Arabidopsis thaliana: one gene and its partners. The protein of the gene in region 1 interacts with the protein of each later gene in a pairwise test. Each region holds a gene or a part of one and is shown on either strand. Other genes may lie near its edges. The genes, in order: SWI3A, FCA and BSH.

Region 1 (6,746 bases):
TTGTTCAGTTTTATTATGTGTAATGAAGAAAGCGGCTTTTAGAAATAATAAGGAAATAACTGCAACCATGGCAGAGGAAAACCAGAGCTTTGGGAGAAGACGAAGAAGATGGGATCCATCTACATGCGAACAACTCTACACCTCTTGAATTTCTCACGTATTCCTGTCACCAATTCATACACATATTTGTTTATTCAAAGATCTAATCAATCATCTCAACACCTCTTGACATCTTCACTCTCCTGTTAAACTATTACTACTACATCTAAAATCTCTAAGCAGAGAGAGGGAGAGAGAGAGAGAACCTCGTGGTATTGGAATTCCGACGACTTCATGACCGGAGCTAGATCTTGAGAGAGAGACACTGAAGGTGACGAAGGGGTTTTGAGGACGGTCTCACCAATTTATAGAAACAAGAGTGTCACTGTTCTTTTTTTCAATTCACTTTTTTCCAAATTATGGAAAGCTCAGAAAATGTTTTCGGAATTTTATTTATTTGACGTCACACTGGGCGCGTGTGAATTAGTAGAGAGACCCATCCATTGGTCAGACATATCGACAAAAGAGGTATGTAACCTAAACCTACTCTCCTCATTAAGTCAATAAAACACATTAATACTAAATACATATAATCCTCAAAAGTCAACATAACAAATCCATAAGGAATGAGAAAACAACTCTACCCCAAGAGAAAAAAAAAGTACGAATGAAAGAAGAAGATCATTTCACGTACGTATGATCCCAACGTTTGGTAATACCGCTTCTAAACGCGCATTGCAAAACGCTAACCCTCTCTTGGATGATTGTTTCCTTTACACCCTCTATCACTTTCTCTTCTTCATCCATTATCGATTCCAAGTCGTCTAGAAACTTCAACTTGCTCTGCAGTTTCTTCAGCTGAGTACAACAAAGAGAAGCAAAACATGTCCGGTTCAAGACACAAACACAGTGGAACAGACACAAATGTTTTAATGTTGTTACAAGTTACAACCAACCTGTTGTTCTATTACTGTCGCAGCTAACTGTTCCATTTCTCTTTCTTCTTGATCAGCCAGTATTTTCGCTTGTGCAGCCGCAGCTCCTAGAGCTGTTGCCACAGACGCTCTTATCCTTAACGCTACAGGTAGACCCTGAGGCCCGTCTGCAAATATATAACGATTCCAAATCTTAAGCCTTGAGCTTTCATTATAAACCTAGGAATGCAGATTGAATCACAACACAATTTACCTTTCTCTTCTTGCTGTTCCTCCATATCTGTATCTTTCTCTCCATTGGCTCTGTGAGCAAAGTTTTGTATCTTGAGATTAGTGTAGGACATGAGAAGCCAAACCACAAGCAAATTGAGGGCTTAGAGAATCGAACCTATCAACTGTGAAATTGCTGTAGTCATCAGTGTCAAAAATCTCTTTTGGACATGAGGCTTCATCACAAAGAGCTGCAAGTGCAGCTTTTGCAGCAGCAGTTGCGACAGATGGACCAACTTTACTTGCCATGGCAGCGACCTGTTGTGCAATATGTAAACATGTTATCTCTTGAACATTCTTTTCCAGTGGAGTTAAAAAGGGCATTCTTTGCGACGGTTAAAGGTCAGAGAAGAACCCGAATGTTACACTCATATGGAAAATAATGAACACAAGGCATATAGTTTAACCAAACATTCACCTGTTTCATAAGTGAACTATCACCCTCTGATATCAGTGCAACACGTTTCCTTTTTGCTGGAGGCTCATCTTCATTCACGCGATCTTCTTTTTCTTCCCTTGTCTCTGTTTCCTCATGTTCCTGCCCATCAGTTTGCACCTGTTCCGTGTTTTCATCCTCGGTGAGGATAGAGGGATTGAGTCTTCCAGAAGCAGAACCCATCAGAAACTCTCCAAACGGGAGCTCAATGAGTTTAGAAATGCAATCTAGTCTACTCTTGGTAGAAACACTTTGTGAAATGAGTTCCCAATCATCTCCATGTTTCAGCACAGATTCTAGCAAGAGGAGGATCTCTTCCTCTGTCCACACAGCTGCAGCTGAATTCCCAATCAACTTAAAATCATCTGCAGTGTTGTTCTCCCCATAGTTTCCATTCTTGAAACACTTTTCGCATATGTTGACTATACCCTGCCAACATCATATGTCAAAAAAAAAAGAAGCATAAACAAAACAGACTAGAGAGTATGAAATATGCTAATCGAAAAAAAGCAAAAAAAAACTACCTTGTTATGTTGATAGAAAGGAGAATCGCAACGTTCTCCACAATGCGCACAAACCAATACATGATCCGGCTTCTTCAAATCACTGAAAACATCTGAATAAGAGGTAAGCGGTGGTACTTTGATGCCAGTCTCAACTCTTTCCTCAACAAGGGGCGGTGCGGTTATAGGCCTAAGAGAATTAGGGGTTGCAGTAACTCGAATTCCAGCAGGAGTCCCTTGTTCTATTTTAGCATTATCCACGGACAATAGATGGTCATTTTTCTTCAGGGAAGAGCTAAAATTGATCAATCCCCATTTTTCGAGGAAGAGAAAAACTTTCTGGAGCAAATTGACATCGCCAACAAGAAACTTGCGGACACTGGTGAAGGTGAGTCTCCGACAAGTGTCCTCTCTAAACTTATTGATAATGAAATCTCGGTACTCCTTGTAAACTTTGGGGGTTCTAGTGATTGAGCTCTCAGTGAAGAACTCCGCAAACTCGCGTCTTTCAATTTCGTGTATATCATCCCATAAGAACCAACCTTGTAAAGAACAAGACAAATCCCCAAATCAATTGCAAAGAAAACAAACCATAGAAAGCAGAAACCTAAGAGACGGAAACAGTTGAGCGAGTAAAAAGAGTAGAAGAAGAAACCCTAGAGATCTAAAAGCATGGCGAGGGTAAGAGAAGACATACTGGATTGAGCAGGAATGGTGTAGAGCTCGATCTCTGCGCTTGGATCAGTGGCTTCCATGCCCGTTACCGATTCCCTCCAATATCAAAAACCTCTGATGAATCTATTGCCAATCGCCAAATCCAAACCACACGGAGAATAATTAGTTAAGGGTCAAAAGCGAAAACTTGCCCGAAGCTGGGTCAATTATAATAAAACTCAATTTAAAATCTGGGCCCAATCTTTATTTTATCAGCCCACTTTGTTATCTAGTTATCAGCCCACTTGTTGTTAACTTTATTTCGTCAAGCCCACTTATTACTATTAACTTTTTGGTCTTCAGCTACAAATTTTAATGAACTTATATAACTCTAGTTGTTAGGGATATGGTTGCTCCAACATCGAACCATAAAGACCAAAAATTACGCACATCATTATGAGATGAACTGTAAAAGAATTTGAGAATTAAACTTATAACTCTTTCCAGAATGCAATAAGCATTTGGCTAAAATTTCACACTGTCAAGTTTTAAGTGGTTGAGAGACCAAAGAGGATCCAGCAGCTTGAATAACATTGAAACTGTCCCAAGAAATTGCAAAACATCCATAATAAAGGGTTCAACTAAAAAAGAGGTACTTCAAGAACCAGCTAAACAAAAAGCTCTATTAAGTTTTACGAATCCGAGCAAACCACAAACAAAAGAAGCTAGCCTCTTAATTCATCCTTTGGGCAGCCTCCTTTGCAATAACTCTTTCCTTTGCCTTGGTCTTTGCCTGAGACTTAGATCCCATTATGCCTCCTCCCCATTTCTTCCTGTACTCCTCGTACTTGTCATTGAAGTTGGCCTATAGACAAAAACCCAAAAACACAATCATAAGAATCTCCAACAATATGTTTCACACAATCTACCATTCTATTGGTCACAAGAAGTATTTACCTTGATAGCTTCCAGGATTTTGCTGAACTCTAGCTTGTCCTCGTTCTTGACAGTGGTCAAACACAAGCAAGAAGCAGTCTTCTGGTGAACAACCTGAAAGTCAGAGAAAGAAATAAAGATTAACTCTCCATGCTAGTGGCTATAAACTAGAGAGAAATCACCCACAACACATACCGCTCCAAGACGAGATTTGCCCTTGACAATGCAGTACGGGACTTCCATCTTCCTGCACAGAGCAGGCAACCAGACAACCAACTCAATTGGGTCGACATCATGAGCAATAACAACAAGTTGGGCCTTGTTCTGCTCAATGAGGTAGGTCACATGGTTGAGGCCGTATTTGACTACAATGGGCTTCTTAGACTCAGAAGGCTTTCCCTCAGCTTCAGCTTGGGCCTTCTTTACAAGACGCTCCTTCTTGGCAGCTTTGTCTTCTGGCCTGTACTTCAGAAGGACCTTGAAGAGGCTGGTAGCTGCAATTATCAATAACGAATATAAATAAGGCACCGAAGTCTTCTTATAAGGTTACAGCAACACAAGATTTACCAGAACTGGTAAATATTTCAATAATAAATTAACAGCAGCAAGTAGTAAATGTTTGAAGAGTAGATTGAGAATGAAATAGACATACCAAGATTCTTGTCAAGAGTCTTGGTGAATTGGTTAAGAGCTGGAGGGACCTTCAACCTCTGCTTCAGGATCCTCTTTTGCCTTTGAAGACGGATGGATTTGGGCCATTTGATGTAGCGAGAGAGATCCTTCTTAGGAGGTAAAGCTCCACCAATACCGAATTGCTTAGGCCTCCTCTCGAATAGAGGGTTTGAAACTTTCTCCTGGAGAAATCAGAAATCAAAACACAAAACTTCAGCAAGAAAGAAAAAAACAACAACAAAGAACAAATTGAATGTTCGAAAACCTAAAAAAGAAGAAGAGAATTGGAAATGAAACATACCGCGGTCTTCTTCTTAGCAGCTACCTTCACTCCTTTCTTCGGGGCCTAAAACCAAATCGTGGCGTGATTAGATTGATAAAGTAACCACAGAACATTTGTGACATTGCTCTCTACGCAAATTTCTAGATGGATTCATAAGCTATATCAACTACCAAATCTATCAAAAGCTAAATCCAAAGCAGATAAGCAATGATGGTGTTACCACCGAGAGGAAATCGAAACCCATGTGTGTTCATCTTCAAGCGAGAATGCATCCAGGAAACACTAACTCTATCGTGAAGGATCTAATTCGATGATTCTACTATGAAAGCAAACAACTAACAGATCCCAAATGAAACGAAATGAAGATGGAAGGAAGAGAGATGATACCATTGTCGTCGTCCAAAGCTCCAACTCCAAATGGTTTCTGCGAAAGGACGGCTGAGTCGAAGAGTATCGTTTTCTAGGGTTTTGCCTTTTATATATATACCATGTACATTGATAGGGCTTCTCTATTTTCTCTAATTAAAATAATAATTAAAAATTGCCAGCAAACCGTAATTACAAATATACCCTTATTAATCTTTCAATGTGTTACGGTCTTTTTAAACCGGTGGTTAACATGGCGGAAAAAATGAGAAAAAACCGGTTTAACATTTTCCACCAGTGATGAACTTTCTCAAAAGAGTTTATTATATACGAACCTAGCTACTAGCCAAAGTCTTACTTTTCTCAAAACCAAACGTTAATGAAACTACCATTTGATGTATACATATGGGTAGAAAACAAGCCACCGACACCTTTGTCACTCATTGGGTGAGCTCTTCCTAAAGAAGATGGTCTTTTCCAAATTCCAATTCAGCAGCATGTGTAGTAGTAGTTTCGTGGATCTGTATGTATTCTCGACCGCGGTTACAACTAACGATTTATAACTAAGGCGTTTTAGTTTTACGAATAGTATTTCGACCTCGTGTTATCGTTCCCATATGGGAGATTTATATCTTTCTCTATGAGATGTTTGTGAGACTGTATGATTTTGTACATTTGAGTTTTTGGAATTGTTTTCGTCAATTTAACAAAAATAATTGGTGACAACAAAAAAACTATCAGTCTTAGTAATATGTGACGTATTTCTTATCAAATTTAGATTGACCATGTAAAGAGTTTAGCAATTAAATCCAATTACATTGCTTGTGTACTTATTCATGTTGTAATAAATTGTAGATTTACAACTATGACAATCCTATATAACAGAACAAAAACAAATACGTATTTGAACTTTCTAGTTTACACTTTACACGAATTACACGTGATAAATAACAGGTAGATTTATGTCAATGTCATACATAGCCTAAATCAACTAAAAAGTAAACAATATAGTTCAAATGTATATATATACTAGATAAGGTCCGCCTATTTAGGCGGGTGTACCCGAAATTTTCAAATACTCGAACGGATATAAACTTTAAAACCCGAAAAACTCAAACCCAAACCCGAATAGGTATGCAAACATATCTCAAATATAAGTATATATTAGTTATATTTATACTTATATATAGAAAATATTAGAATTTTTTTGGATATTTTAGTTATTTTTGTGTATTTTTAGATATATTCAAGCAAAACTACTCATGTTGTTTTGGGAATTTTTGAAAATTTCAAGTAATTTAATAGATTTGCACACAAAATTTGATATTTCAATATATAAATAACTCGAACCCGAACCCGAACCCAAACCGAACCCGACCCGATAATATTTTTTTGTTTAAAAATACATACAACCAAAATCTTATTTCTACCCAATTTCTTTAAGTAATAATTATATTAATAAAACCTACAGTCTAATTTCTACAGCAATAAAACTTACAGCTACAGTCATCACACCTACAACAAAAATTCTACAGCAGTAAATCTACAGTTACAGACAAACCAATCACCCACGTAATCTCGTAAGTTAATTTTACATCATGCAAATTAATATTAAATGAGTTAAAATTAATAAATGAAAATAATTGAAAAGT
Region 2 (6,550 bases), on another chromosome or scaffold:
CCATATACTTACTGGTTTATATAATCTCAACATTATCATCTTTAAACTTGGTTTAGGATAGAAATTTATTTCTGAAGAGTGTGAGTGTGATACATTGTTGATAAGGTTGATAAGAAAAGTACTTTGACACTAAGAAATAAGAATACTTGTTGAATTTGTTGAATGGATGAGTGAGTGCTTAGTAAATTAGAAACTAAATTTATCAAAACATAATATTTAATAAAACAAAACAAAACAAAAAAAATCGAAAATATCTGTAGGATAGCGTAAATAATCACCTAGGTAATTTAATTTTGCCATTCATGGAGTCAAGAGAGCAATGAAACACAAGAATGCAAAGAAAAAGCATTTGCTTAATGAAGTCATTTTGAGAAACTTCCTCCTTTCTAACGATCTCAGTTCCAAACCAACCGTCAATTAATCTCTAGATCTATTGAAAGAGATTGTTCGAAATTCTTCGAACAACACCAAACTCCGAGGAAACTCCACCACTATATACACCTAACTTGATGTAGTATGAACTTAGCAAAAGGAAGTGACAAAGATGTTACTCCTCGAAAAAATTGGAGAGATCGTATAAGATTTAGAAGAAAAACGGAGACATCAACGGACACAGATGGAAGAGAGATCAATTTCGCTAGAGCGTATATACACAAAAGTATATAAAATTTTGATAAATCGAACAAAGCTAATAACGGAAATCCGATAAAAGGTCGGCAGTTATTTTGTTTGTATATACACGAAAATATATAAAATTCCAGACAAAACCGAAATCAAACTCCATCGACAAGAAACCTCTCCTCTCAGAAGGATTTGAGAGAGAGAAGAAACTATTTTTAGTCGTCGGATTTTAATTTCGGTGTACTGAAAATTGCTTTCTCTATCTGAAAAATATGAGTGAGAAAATAGAAAAAAAAACATATTTTTCTGGTCGAGTACTCTTTTGTTTAAAAATTTCTTTAATTTCGTAACTTTTTGTTTCTATGAATCAAAGATCAAAATTACAATTTGTTATTGGATTTCAACGAATCCAATATATTTTTATTAATCCCAATAAAGTAACGTAAAAGGCAGAATACTTTACTAGTGTTATAATTTATATAGTTAACTAAAATTAGGTTTATGAAATACTATTTTACTAGAAATAAATACCCGATCGACCATGTTGAATTATTATTTTTATACATTAAATTTTTCGATTATATACTTCGAATTCTTGGGTCATAATCTAAATCTAAAAACTAATAACTTTTAAAATTGATTCACATAATAAATTCAAAACTAATAGCTTACACCACAATATAAATTAGTATTTTTTAATCTTAATATATTATGCCACAATCATCTACGTACTTGGATTATTATATGTACTAACCTTTCAGCTTCATTTCTAATTAACATGCAATCACTTAAATGATTTGCAGCATGACTCTTCATTAATGCAATGTAATAACATCAAAATTTAATTAAACGTCAATTACCGTTTCACTCTTCCATTATAAAAAGAAGTAACAAAAAAGTTCTCCCTAAAGATTTTGCTTGCCTGAAAAAAGTATGAATTGCATCAAACAATTTCTCTTGGCAATTTGCTTTTCTCTGGCCCTAACATGTCAAGACCATGTCTTAGTCGGCGGCACCACCACGAGAGACATTATAGTCCCGAAGATTTCTGAGTGGCAAGTCACGGTTGTTAACGGTTTGACAACTGGTGAAACTCTTTTCATCCATTGTAAATCTAAAGAAGATGATCTAGGTGAAATTAATCTGAAGTTTAGAAATAGATTTTCTTGGAACTTCGGAGAAAATATGCTTCACTCAACTTTTTTTTGGTGCTATATGAACAAAGATAATGGTCATATGAATGTAAACGTGTTTTGGGATGATGTTATCTTGTTCCATAGATGCGGTTGGAAGAATTGCATTTGGACTGCAAAAACTGATGGCCTTTATCTTTGGAATTCAGCGAGCGGTGAAGATGTATTGTCAAGAAAATGGGAAGTTGGATGGTGAAGCCATATTTTTGCTTTTTGGTAATTTTTTAGTACATGTATCTTGTTGTTTTTGGCAAAAAAAAAATTGAAATAATAAAAAACATTTGTTTTAACTTTCTCTCTTATTTTGTGTATTTTTCATCAATGATAGATTTTTTGTTTTAGTTCTTTATTTATAGGTCATTTAATTATTAGATTAATTTTCTGAGATAATAAGATCATAGATTAAATAACAATATTGTGTTTGTGATATATAGAGATTACATTTTACACTTATATATATTGGTAAGATTTCTTTTTGCTTTCAAACCATTAAAAACCTGTTAAACGATTAACTTGACTCAAGACAAAGCCATTGATTATTGACTCATGAATCTAGTGACTCATGATGAAGGAGACGAACAGTAAATATTCATTTGATTATTTTAGGTAAAAGGTAGTTCAGACCTAGTCATATATCCTCTAAATTCATATAGTGATGCAAGTATTTTGCATTACTTAGAACTTTATATTATTGATCACCCAACACATGATTTAATAAACGCCATGAAATGCATGTACTATATCAAAATGTTTCTGAAGCATATAGTTGACATGAGAATTTTGGATTGGACTTAAGAATGTGAGAGTTACCTGAAATGTCAATTTTTTTCCTTTTGTTAACGAAAACTCATTGGAACAATTGTATCCCCCTTTTGGCAGTATATAAATATATTGATGGCCCAAGTAGCTGTATTTTTCGTTATCAGCCAAGACTCAATAAAGTCTACCGGTCCAAATTTCAACTGAATCACCGGTCCAACCACTATTACCGTAACTAGACCGCTTTTTCTTTTTTACATTCGGACAAAAAAATCAAAATTTCGAGCAACTAAATTGATCTCATCTTCAATCAAATTCATCATCTTCGATACTCGTTTCTTCTCTCTTTGGTTTCATACAGATCCCAAATTTCTAGGGCTCCTAGTCCTTTGATTTCTTCGACTGGAATCGCAATTCCCCACTACGTCAAGCTGGACAGACACCGAAGGGATCGCCATGAGAGTGGCGGCTACGAGGATTCCTACCATAACCACCGAGCCCATCCCAGAGGTCCATCTCGTCCCTCAGATTCACGCTTCGAAGAGGATGATGATGATTTTCGCCGCCACCGTCGTCGTCGTGGAAGCAGCCCTAGCAATTATCGAATTGGAATTGGGGGCGGAGGAGGAGGTAATGGTGGTCGACGCTGGGAAGATGACACTCCTAAGGATTTTGATGGTCCCGGAGATGGAGGTTTCCGGCAGATGAATGGTCCCCCAGATAGAGTAGATTTTAAGCCTATGGGTCCTCACCATGGTGGAAGTTTTCGGCCTATGGGGTTTGCCTACGATGATGGTTTTCGTCCAATGGGTCCTAACGGTGGTGTGGGAGGAGAAGGGACACGGTCAATTGTTGGAGCTCGGTATAACTATCCCGCGAAGTATCCTCCTTCAGAGAGTCCAGACAGGAGGAGATTTATCGGTAAAGCAATGGAGTCTGATTATTCTGTAAGACCGACTACACCGCCGGTCCAGCAGCCTCTTTCCGGTCAGAAAAGAGGGTATCCTATCTCAGACCATGGCAGCTTTACTGGAACTGGTAAGCATGAGTTCACTCTTCTTTCTTCTATGTATATTTATTCTTGTAGTCTGTTAAGGTTCCTGAGTGTCTCTTATTTTTGTGGGAATCAATGATTAGAGTATTGAAAGGTAGTATGGTTGTTATGTTACTGTATTGTTGAAGGTTTTTCATGGGATCGACTCTAGAGGATCCTTTCGATTTTCCCATGTATGTGATAATCAAAACTATATGCCATCTTCATGTGTATCCTTATCTGGTTAATTTGATTTGCAGATGTCTCTGATCGTAGCAGTACAGTCAAGCTTTTTGTTGGATCTGTACCAAGGACAGCTACAGAAGAAGAAGTGAGTTAATCTTGGAAATCATTGTTATCTATATACTCATTACTGAGAACCTTTTCTAAATTTTTTCTGTTGGTTTTCATATTGTAGATCCGTCCCTATTTCGAACAGCATGGAAATGTTCTGGAGGTTGCTCTGATCAAGGACAAGAGAACTGGACAGCAGCAAGGTATGTCAATCTCCATTTTATTAGGAAATAGTCGTGAATTATACTTTTTAAAATTTCAGGTCTCCCTGAAAAGGCTGATGGGAAGCAACCCCAGTCTCATCATTGGCCTCCAATTGTTTGCAACAATTTTCGGGCTTATTGCTTATGCTTGCCAGCGTCTTATCTGTGTTCGATTCTGTCACAGAAGAAGGCTACCTGTGCTAAGAAAGGGTTTATGTACTTATGTTGGGCAAATAGATTTCGCTACTTGTGTGTATTCTAGAACTTTAGATGTGTTTGAAAAGTGTAGAATTTATTGAGGGTGTTTTAGAGTTGGAGTTAATGTACAGAGAACTGAATTTTGCTGTTGCCTTTATAGTGGGAATTGGTTATAAGAACATCGCTATTTTCCTCTCCTATTGAAATTCATTTTCTTTACTCTTCCTCTAGATGGATTGAAGATGTTGTGTATGGTCTTGACAGGATGAATGTATTTTTTTAAGTTGGTAGTTTGATAAGGACATGAGGTTCAAAAGATGGTTTCTTGATTTGCCACTCCTGCTGGTCAAAGATTTGGCCGTCTTTCTAATTTTATCATGTTGGAGGTTTGGCGTCTTCATTTTCTTTCATATCAATTTATGGGTGTGCTGTCTATTGGTTAATGATGGCATTCCTTTTACCTTTTTGGATGAGTGATGCTGGAATGAATGCGTTTCTCCTTTTCTTTTGTTGATGGCCTGAGGAACTATGATGGCTATATTTCTTTCCACTCTCTTTGAATGGCCTGAAATGTGTGCTTTCTGTATGGTCGTCCCTCTCAATTTCTTGGATGGCTTGTGATGTGATATACCATCTCTCGTCATAGGTGAATGAATGATTTGTTTAGTAGTTCTTATGTATGTATTTTGTATGTTCCCACGTCTCTATTCCTTGGATGGCTTGTGATGTGATATACCATCTCTCGTCATAGATGAATGAATATTTTGTTGAGTAGCTCTTATGTCTGTATGGTGGCCCTTGCAGTGCTGATCGATATTTATGTGGAAGAAATGTTTGATGATAGATTTTTTTTGTATGCTCCCTTTTCGCTAATCAAGCCTTTGTGCTTGCAAGGTGCAACTGTTATTTTATTATTGAATTTCCTGTTCTACTACTCCATTTAGTTCTGTCTCTATTTTGTCAGTGTGAAGAAATACTAGACGATGAATGGTGTGTTTGTACGTGCATAGTTATTTATAAATTCTTGACTTTCCAAGAAGTTATTATTTCTATAACTGCTACACCTTTGTGGATGGCAGAACAAATGCATCTGATTGTGGTGACATAAACACTTTTGATCGCGGTTGAATGTACTAGATTCCATACAACTCTTTCTTCAGCCTTGTGAAATATTATTATGTTAGGTGGTGCAAACATATGGAAGGAACCTGATTGTTTTAGTTTCTTAGAATAGTTTCTGATGTTAATACAGCATGTTGACTTCACTCTCTTGCCCTTGATCAATCAGCATCAGGCAGGGGCCTAATTATGTATTACATGAAGCAATCGTATTCTTTTCTGAATTAGATTTTTTTCCAATGAGTTATCTTGCCCATAACTGTAGTTCTTTATTTGAAGTCTTCAAATGCTTGATGTATGGTGACGAAAATGTGTATATGTTTTGGTTTTGATTATCCGCTACTCATCAATTATTGAGATTCTTACATACTGAATCCGTTACTTTGGACCTATAGTTATGTTTTATGTTGCTAATTAACTTGTACATGTTTCTAGATTTTCTTTCAAATGGATCCTGCTTGGACAAATGCAGCCACCCTTTGTCTGAAAGGCCCTCTTGTAGATATGTTATCTGCAGATACTGACTGTGTTCAATTTTTTAATATTTGTTTTTGCCATATTCTCCATTTGAAGACATTAATTTATTCTCTCCAACAACTTTACATCAATATTTAAGTGGAGGCTGTCAGACATGTCTTATGATTTTCCTACTGAACTTATGTGCTTTGAGTAGTACATCTTGTTACTAGTACAATTTGATGGTAGAAGGAAAAGTTGAACCCTGAAACAGATAGCTTAAGTATCAGTCTTTAATGCAGGCTGTTGTTTTGTAAAATATGCAACTTCGAAAGATGCGGATAGAGCCATCAGAGCACTGCACAATCAGATCACTCTTCCTGGGGTAATTACCCTGAGGCTTTCTCTTATCAAGAACAGGAAACTATAGGTTGTTTCACCTTTTATAATTTTGTTGATTCCCAGGGAACTGGTCCTGTTCAAGTTCGATATGCTGACGGGGAGAGAGAACGCATAGGTAATCAACTTCCACACAGAGTATCTAATGTGGCTGTCATTGTCTAGTGTTCATAGCCAAGACCATACGCTGCATAAGTTCAGATTACAAAAATTAAGAAAATGTGGGAAATGATATGAACTTTATGGATGTTGATCCTTTTCTTTCCCTGTTTTCT
Region 3 (6,912 bases), on another chromosome or scaffold:
AGCTGTATGCAAACGTGGAGATATGATTGCATCTTTGTCTATGCATGAACATGCCACGTTAATTTAGGAGTACATATCATGATATTGATCTCTCTTGCTATAACTTTTTGGCACAATACTATTGCATGCCTCTCTATATTACTTCAACAAAACGTTTAAATTTACCATGGTTAGAACTTAGAAGTAATCGAGCTGCAAACCATGGTGATCATATTTTTTCTCGTTCGCATGCTCGGTCTTAATATATTGAGAGTTATGGCCAAAATTTGAATACCATTTTAAGAAACTTCAGAAAATCAGGAGTTTGATTATTATCTTTGGTTCTTACTTACTTCAACGAAAACTAATGACAAAACTCTTTTAAGTCGAGGTATGCGAGTAATAACTCCTTGGACATATTTTTTTGATAAAAGTTTAATTGATTATAGACTTATAGTAGTCTTAATTATTATTATAAGTATAAAGAGGAGTAAACATTCATCATTAGACTACTAGACATTATAAAGTTATATATATCGAAATTCTAACAAGAAGGATCCCTAGAGACCAGACATGCATGTCCAAAGACAGATCGTATAATAGCTAATAGGAGTCTTATCGATCCAACATCCAAGGTAGGCTTTATTACAAAGTAACTATTAGAGTGCACTTCCCATGATGATTCTAGAATCTAATATTATTATCAATACAGCCAATGAGCATTATGTGATGTAACAATTTATGTCTACTTTATATTTTGAAGTTATCATAAATCAACGAATTCTATTTTGATTTTCAAAAAAGAGTAAAAGATTTGGGCTTCTAAGAGAGACAATCCACAAAGCTAAAGAGACATTAACAGGAAACGTATAGTTAAAGAAAAGAACACTGTCTGCTCCACAAAAACAATATACACAAAACTCTTCAAGTCTACCTTATTTTTATTGGTTCTGCAATTTTCAATGGTCTGTTACATTAATGTGTCATAAGAGACAATTGAGTTTTCTTATCAACAGAAGGGTCTAAAAAATTGATCCCCCAAGTTCATAGTCTATAGACTCAGTTTTTTTCTTTCAAATATTGATGTGTAAGAAAGTGAAAGTGATGTGATGCTCTGTTTCTGTTTACGGCTAGACAATAAAGCCTTTTTTGGCCCTTATCTCTCCTAATTAAAGAATCTGAGCAGTTGAGAAATTAAAATCAAAGCCTTAACAGATTAACTCCAACATCATTTAGACACACTTTCCTTGGATACCACCTTTTTACGGAAACTTCGAATCTTACATGTAAACAAATCTCAAAACCATAATTTCACATTTTTACTACTAACTAACTCCAAAGATCTAAACCCATGAATTAAGTATCTAATCGGGTAATTATTACAGTGGTTTTCAGAAATCAATGTGTGTTCATATTTAGAAGGTTGAAAGTTCATAGTTAAATGTGGGGAACCTTATGTTCCTATTATTTATTTATATTAAATTTCAAAGTCGATTAAATCAATTTTTAAATTCAAAATCTATGCAATAGAATCACCTACTAGTCCTTTTTTGTTTAACTAGACAGAGAGAAATAGAAATAGAGAGAGAGAGACATGAAGAGCACTCTCAATAGAGAAGAGAAGGAAGCATGAAGCTAGCTCTGCAGCTTCAAGGTCTCATTAATGGAGGTCTCTAACTCTTGTTCTTCATTTTCTTCATCCTCTGTCGACAGTACTAAACCTTCTCCTTCTGAATCTTCTGTTAATCTCTCCCTTAGTCTCACATTTCCTTCTACTTCTCCACAAAGGTCTTATTCACATCACTTCTCTGTTTTTTCCTATGTTCTGTTTTTGCTCTGTTTTCTTTTGTTCACATTTGTGTTTTAAATCTTTATTTTTTTGTAGAGAAGCAAGACAAGATTGGCCACCGATAAAGTCTAGATTAAGAGATACACTAAAGGGTCGTCGTCTTCTTCGTCGTGGTGATGACACTTCTCTCTTTGTTAAGGTTTATATGGAAGGTGTTCCCATTGGAAGAAAACTCGACCTTTGCGTATTCTCAGGCTACGAGAGTCTATTAGAAAATCTCTCTCACATGTTCGATACTTCAATCATCTGTAAGTAATTAATGAACAACACATAATTCCGTAAAAACAACATTCAACTAAATTCAAACAGTTTGAAGTATATCCATGCATTGTCTTGGCTATAACAGGCGGTAATCGAGATCGAAAACATCATGTTTTGACATATGAAGACAAGGATGGAGATTGGATGATGGTCGGAGATATTCCATGGGAGTATGAATCTTATATCTTGATCTTACATTGGTATAATTTCCTCGGTTATAGCTATTCTCTAATTTTTGAAATCGATGTTTTTGTTTAGTATGTTTCTTGAAACCGTGAGAAGACTAAAGATCACGAGACCGGAGAGGTATTAAAACTTGGATCGGTCAAGGCTGTGATTGCGCAGTTACGAGACGTGTAAGATTTAGGCATTGATGAAGAGACTTGAGGCGGGACGGAGCTATTGCTGCATATTGCAACAAAGGCCTTGAAGAAGTTGGAGAATTGATTGATGCATATATTTATTTATATGACACCTTTGAGTGTGTTTTTTCTTATAAATAAATCACAATATCCAAGACTTCTCTTTTTTGTTCTGAATAATAATAATGCAAAGATTTTTTATATGTTTGTAATCGTGTGTTTCTTCGAATGTGTTACATGACTAGGAAAAAAGTACACGAACGTTGTTATGGGGAGCACGAACATGGAATAGAGGAACGTTGTCAGGAAGAGAATGATTCTCTTTGATCTGCCGGCAGCCGTCTCGTTGGTTGTCACCAATGTACAATTTTAATGTTGAGCCCATTTAAAGCCCACTAAATGACTAACAAGCTCGTTTAAAGCCCAAATGCTGCAATTGATCGTAGGATCGGATCCAGATAATTCGTCCCAAAATGGGAAAATTCCAAATTAGAGGTGAAATGTGTAAAGACATTAGAATATAAGGGTGATTCTGAAATAAATTAAGCTAGCGCCGGAAAAAGATCGAGAAATTGAAATTTCCCACACTCTCTCGCTGACTCTCTTCGAAACTCAATTTGTGAAATTTGGGGGTTTAAGGATGAAGGGTTTAGTGTCTACTGGTTGGAAAGGTCCCGTCAAGTTCAGGATGTAAGTTTCGTCGCTTCCTCTACTTTGTTTGTTTTGAAATCGAAATCGAGTTCATGTGTTTTTGTTTTTTCTGATGAATCGATTTGTAATCGGAGCTATAGGCCCACTGCTGAAAACTTGGTACCTATTCGATTGGACATTCAATTCGAAGGTCAGCGTTACAAAGATGCTTTCACTTGGAACCCTTCAGGTTTCTCTCTTAAAAACCCTACCTTTTTTTTTGTTTTCCATCTTCTCGCATCTTATTACAGTAGCAGTGTATGTGATTCACTGATTCTTGTTTTTGGTTTTGGATACAGACCCGGATAATGAAGTCGTTATCTTTGCCAAAAGAACTGTTAAAGACTTGAAACTTCCCTATGCATTTGTCACTCAGATTGCCCAATCTATTCAGGTTGTTTCTAAACTAGTTCACACTGACCTATCTTTAGTTTTTCTTCTGCTCTGATTTTGTTGTTAGTTCTTTTGCTTGTCATAGAGATGAGCTTAAATTTAAGGTCACCTATTAGTCTTAAACCAATCACACTTTCGACTTATTGTTTTTAACTCTTTAGGTTTTTTTACTCGAGAAGAGGCCTGTTTATAGCATTGTACTTTGGGATGTATATCTGTAAGACTGTGCTTTTGTGATGAATGTACTCTTGCTTCAGTTATGTTCTGTTCTGTTTTTGTAAGTATTGGAATAATTTCTTCAGAAATCTCTACTTACATTGGTCAACTTCCTGCTTTATCAGTCTCAGCTCTCAGACTTTCGGGCTTATGAAGGACAAGACATGTACACTGGTGAAAAAATCATACCAATTAAGGTTTTATGACGCTAGATATCCTTATCCCTCTCTCTTTTGTCCATGAGTGATTTGTTGGAAAAAAAGAAGTTCTAGAAGCTGATAAGCTATCTTTCTTTCTTTTTTGTGCCAGCTTGATCTCCGAGTTAACCATACTCTCATCAAGGATCAGTTCTTATGGGTGAGAATACTTGGTGATTTTGAACAATTTCAACTATTGTTTGTACTCTTTTTCTCAGTGCAGCTTGATTGCCGTTTTGCAGGACCTAAACAATTTTGAGAGTGATCCTGAGGAATTTGCAAGAACCTTGTGCAAGGATTTAGGTGTTGAAGACCCTGAAGTTGGAGTAAGATAACCACTCAATTTTTTACATTTCATTATCTGAACTAATGAACCTAAGTTTCAAACGTTTGATACAAGTGATTTTTGGTTTCTCCTTCTCTCTGAAGCCTGCTGTTGCCTTTGCAATAAGGGAACAACTTTACGAGGTTAAAACTTTGATTGTAACTTTAAGCTACTCTCTCTGTATTTCTGTATACTCTATATATGTTTTCTATTTTGAACAAGAATGCCAAACTTACTGAGTTACCATGTCGTTGTTTTTGCTTGCCAGATTGCAATTCAAAGTGTGGCTTCAGCTAGGGAGAGTAGATTAAGCAAGAAAGGCCGCAGAGGATCTGATCATGGTTCAGCGAGGTATGTTCACGTTGCCCCTATTTGTCTATCCAAGTTACCTTGTGGTAATATTAGAGCCTAGCTCAAAAAATTCTAAAATAACTTTCCATCTTATATGTGCAGCAAGGCAAGTGGCCTGTCAATGGACTTAATGAAGTTATTCAGTTTTAAGTCCAGTGTAGTTCGGTAAGTGATTTTCTTACCCACTTAATGCATACATTTTCTCTGTTGCATTGTCTTCTTAAGATCTGTTGGACGACTGACTTCTAGCAGCTAGATCGTTTATAAGATAAGTTAACTTTGCGACACATCCTGAGCGTTTTTCTTACACATACTCTTGAATGCCACCTCTTCATGCATTATATCATTTGATAGTAGATTATCCCAATATTTGGAGCTGGTCCCTACTGAGATTGTTCTAATAGTAATTTCTGGTGATGTTACATGTTGTTATTGAACATAGAAAACCGAATCACTAGGTTGGAAATTGTTTGATTACAAAATAAACTCTGTGGAAATTGAAGAAGTTCTCTTCCTGCATTGCTTATCACTAAATGGGAGTTTTTCAAAAAATAAGATTTATGGACACGAACAAATTTGACTTGCAAGACCAAGCAAAAGCTATAACAGAATCCAAAAATAACAAATTTTGTCCATGATCTTGACAGGAAAAGGAAAGACTTGGATGTTTATGAACCAGTTGTGGATCTGCTAACAAGTGAGGAAGTTGATGCGCTTGAAGCCAGGGAAGAGAGACATGCAAGGTGAAGAGTTTCGTTTACATGTATAAATATTTCTTAGGGCAACACTCAAAATATGTTGTATCATGCTTAACTTGAGTTAATGATATTAAGACAATCTTTTATGAGACACATAATCCTTAAGATGCATCCGGTGTGTATGAGTGCCCTGGCCTAAGTATGAGATTTCGGTTTAGTAAACCTGGTTAGGTGAAACACCAGTGGGTGTGGAATGAAGAATCTTTAGATGATATAACCTCAATGGGACATGTTAGGTTTGCAGAGTTGAGTGAAACCATTTCTTCACTCTTTGATTAAGATGTTTCCCAAACTTTGAGCATGTTAAAGAATGTTAGAGAGAGAGTTAGAGGATTAAAAAAAATATAGTAATGAAAGAAAGAAAGAAAAATGAAGGAGATTCAAAGGACAAGACACGTTGTGAGAATCAAGTGACCCACTTGAGACTTTAATAAGATCTCATCATCAACCATTAACCTCACTGTCGATATACGGTCGTACTTTTTCTTCTATTCTCTTCTCTTTGCCCTTTTTTTTTTCTCTTTTTCTTGATTCAATGATTGGGTCCCTCTCTAAGCTCAAGCTGCTGTCATCTAAATTAATTAATATGCGAAAATAAAAATTATTGGGTTTATTTTTGTTGGAAGTTTTGTAATTTTGTGTAGAGATTATTGATCAGTTTTTGGTTGTGTACATTTATGAGTTGTACTTGTGCCCTATCCTTTGAAGGTTACATGGATAAACAAGTTAATGTCTTGAATCGGCTGAGTCTTTATTATAGAATCAATTTGATGAATAAGTTAAAAATTTGAAGCTGGTTTTAATATTCGACACCAATATAGCAATCAACCTAACTGAAATTGAAGAAAACTATGTTATACTTTGAGTTTCAACTTATATACTTCTCTAAATGACCAAAAGTTAAAAAAAGATCCATTTGTTTACATAAACTGAATCTAACCGAAATCAAACCAAAAAAAGATGTAGTTGTCCAGCTCTAATCAAGGTTGCAAGTTACAAATGTTTGTTATTCTCTTTGTGGCTATAAAAGGATTTGGGTCTACTTGAGAGACGAAATTGTTTTTTATTGACTGAGAAGAGTAATGACTAATGAGCATAAAGCCTGTACTCTTTATGTCTGTCCGAAGTTAGGAACGTCAACTCAGTCGATAGATTGTGTACATTGAGACAATATTAGACCGTTACCAAAAGTGCAAATTATCACTAACTTCTAAGTTCTTCTAAGAGAAAAGAAAAGAAATAATTCTATTTACTTATCATTATGTAGTTTACAATTTGTTAGAATCATTTTAGTTGGTCCAAACAAAATTAATGGTCGGTGGCTCGAGTTATTGTACTGTTACATTGGAACACATCATAGGTAATGAACTCAATAATGGTTTTTTTTTTTTTTCCTTCTGATTGATAATTTATGACATGTGCAACTTAAGTCAATACCTGACTTTACATTATGGAGAACTAATAACTTGAATTCTCATTCAAAATAATGCTAATCATCTCATACAAATGATATGTGAATTCAAGAAAGACA

The links.
Region 2: the proteins of SWI3A (region 1) and FCA interact in a two-hybrid assay, tested with the Arabidopsis thaliana proteins (one study listed by BioGRID).
Region 3: the proteins of SWI3A (region 1) and BSH interact in a two-hybrid assay, tested with the Arabidopsis thaliana proteins (one study listed by BioGRID).

The regions. Positions count from the first base shown.
Region 1 is NC_003071.7:19,528,226-19,534,971, reverse strand, and holds SWI3A (SWITCH/sucrose nonfermenting 3A), read right to left. Parts: upstream 3,026-6,746; 5' UTR 2,939-3,025; coding exon 2,881-2,938; intron 2,726-2,880; coding exon 2,205-2,725; intron 2,110-2,204; coding exon 1,663-2,109; intron 1,503-1,662; coding exon 1,363-1,502; coding exon of another isoform or gene 1,305-1,362; exon of another isoform or gene 1,278-1,304; coding exon 1,228-1,277; intron 1,142-1,227; coding exon 996-1,141; intron 898-995; coding exon 721-897; 3' UTR 501-720; downstream 1-500. Other genes in the region: AT2G47630 (alpha/beta-Hydrolases superfamily protein), read right to left, coding at 67-163, 306-335; AT2G47610 (Ribosomal protein L7Ae/L30e/S12e/Gadd45 family protein), read right to left, coding at 3,571-3,702, 3,795-3,887, 3,969-4,267, 4,426-4,627, 4,747-4,791, 5,116-5,118. UniProt on the Arabidopsis thaliana protein: Component of a multiprotein complex equivalent of the SWI/SNF complex, an ATP-dependent chromatin-remodeling complex, which is required for the positive and negative regulation of gene expression of a large number of genes.
Region 2 is NC_003075.7:9,211,140-9,217,689, reverse strand, and holds the start of FCA (flowering time control protein FCA), read left to right. Parts: upstream 1-2,864; 5' UTR 2,865-3,277; coding exon 3,278-3,611; intron 3,612-3,866; coding exon 3,867-3,937; intron 3,938-4,024; coding exon 4,025-4,103; exon of another isoform or gene 4,104-6,178; coding exon 6,179-6,261; intron 6,262-6,341; coding exon 6,342-6,393; intron 6,394-6,550. Other genes in the region: SPH1 (S-protein homologue 1), read left to right, coding at 1,555-2,010. UniProt on the Arabidopsis thaliana protein: Plays a major role in the promotion of the transition of the vegetative meristem to reproductive development. Plays a role in the regulation of flowering time in the autonomous flowering pathway by decreasing FLOWERING LOCUS C mRNA levels.
Region 3 is NC_003074.8:6,015,771-6,022,682, reverse strand, and holds BSH (transcription regulatory protein SNF5, putative (BSH)), read left to right. Parts: upstream 1-3,016; 5' UTR 3,017-3,091; coding exon 3,092-3,141; intron 3,142-3,236; coding exon 3,237-3,331; intron 3,332-3,440; coding exon 3,441-3,535; intron 3,536-3,875; coding exon 3,876-3,947; intron 3,948-4,059; coding exon 4,060-4,107; intron 4,108-4,189; coding exon 4,190-4,273; intron 4,274-4,376; coding exon 4,377-4,415; intron 4,416-4,540; coding exon 4,541-4,623; intron 4,624-4,725; coding exon 4,726-4,788; intron 4,789-5,270; coding exon 5,271-5,370; 3' UTR 5,371-5,471; downstream 5,472-6,912. Other genes in the region: IAA31 (indole-3-acetic acid inducible 31), read left to right, coding at 1,643-1,767, 1,865-2,076, 2,175-2,259, 2,348-2,402. UniProt on the Arabidopsis thaliana protein: Component of a multiprotein complex equivalent of the yeast SWI/SNF complex, an ATP-dependent chromatin-remodeling complex, which is required for the positive and negative regulation of gene expression of a large number of genes.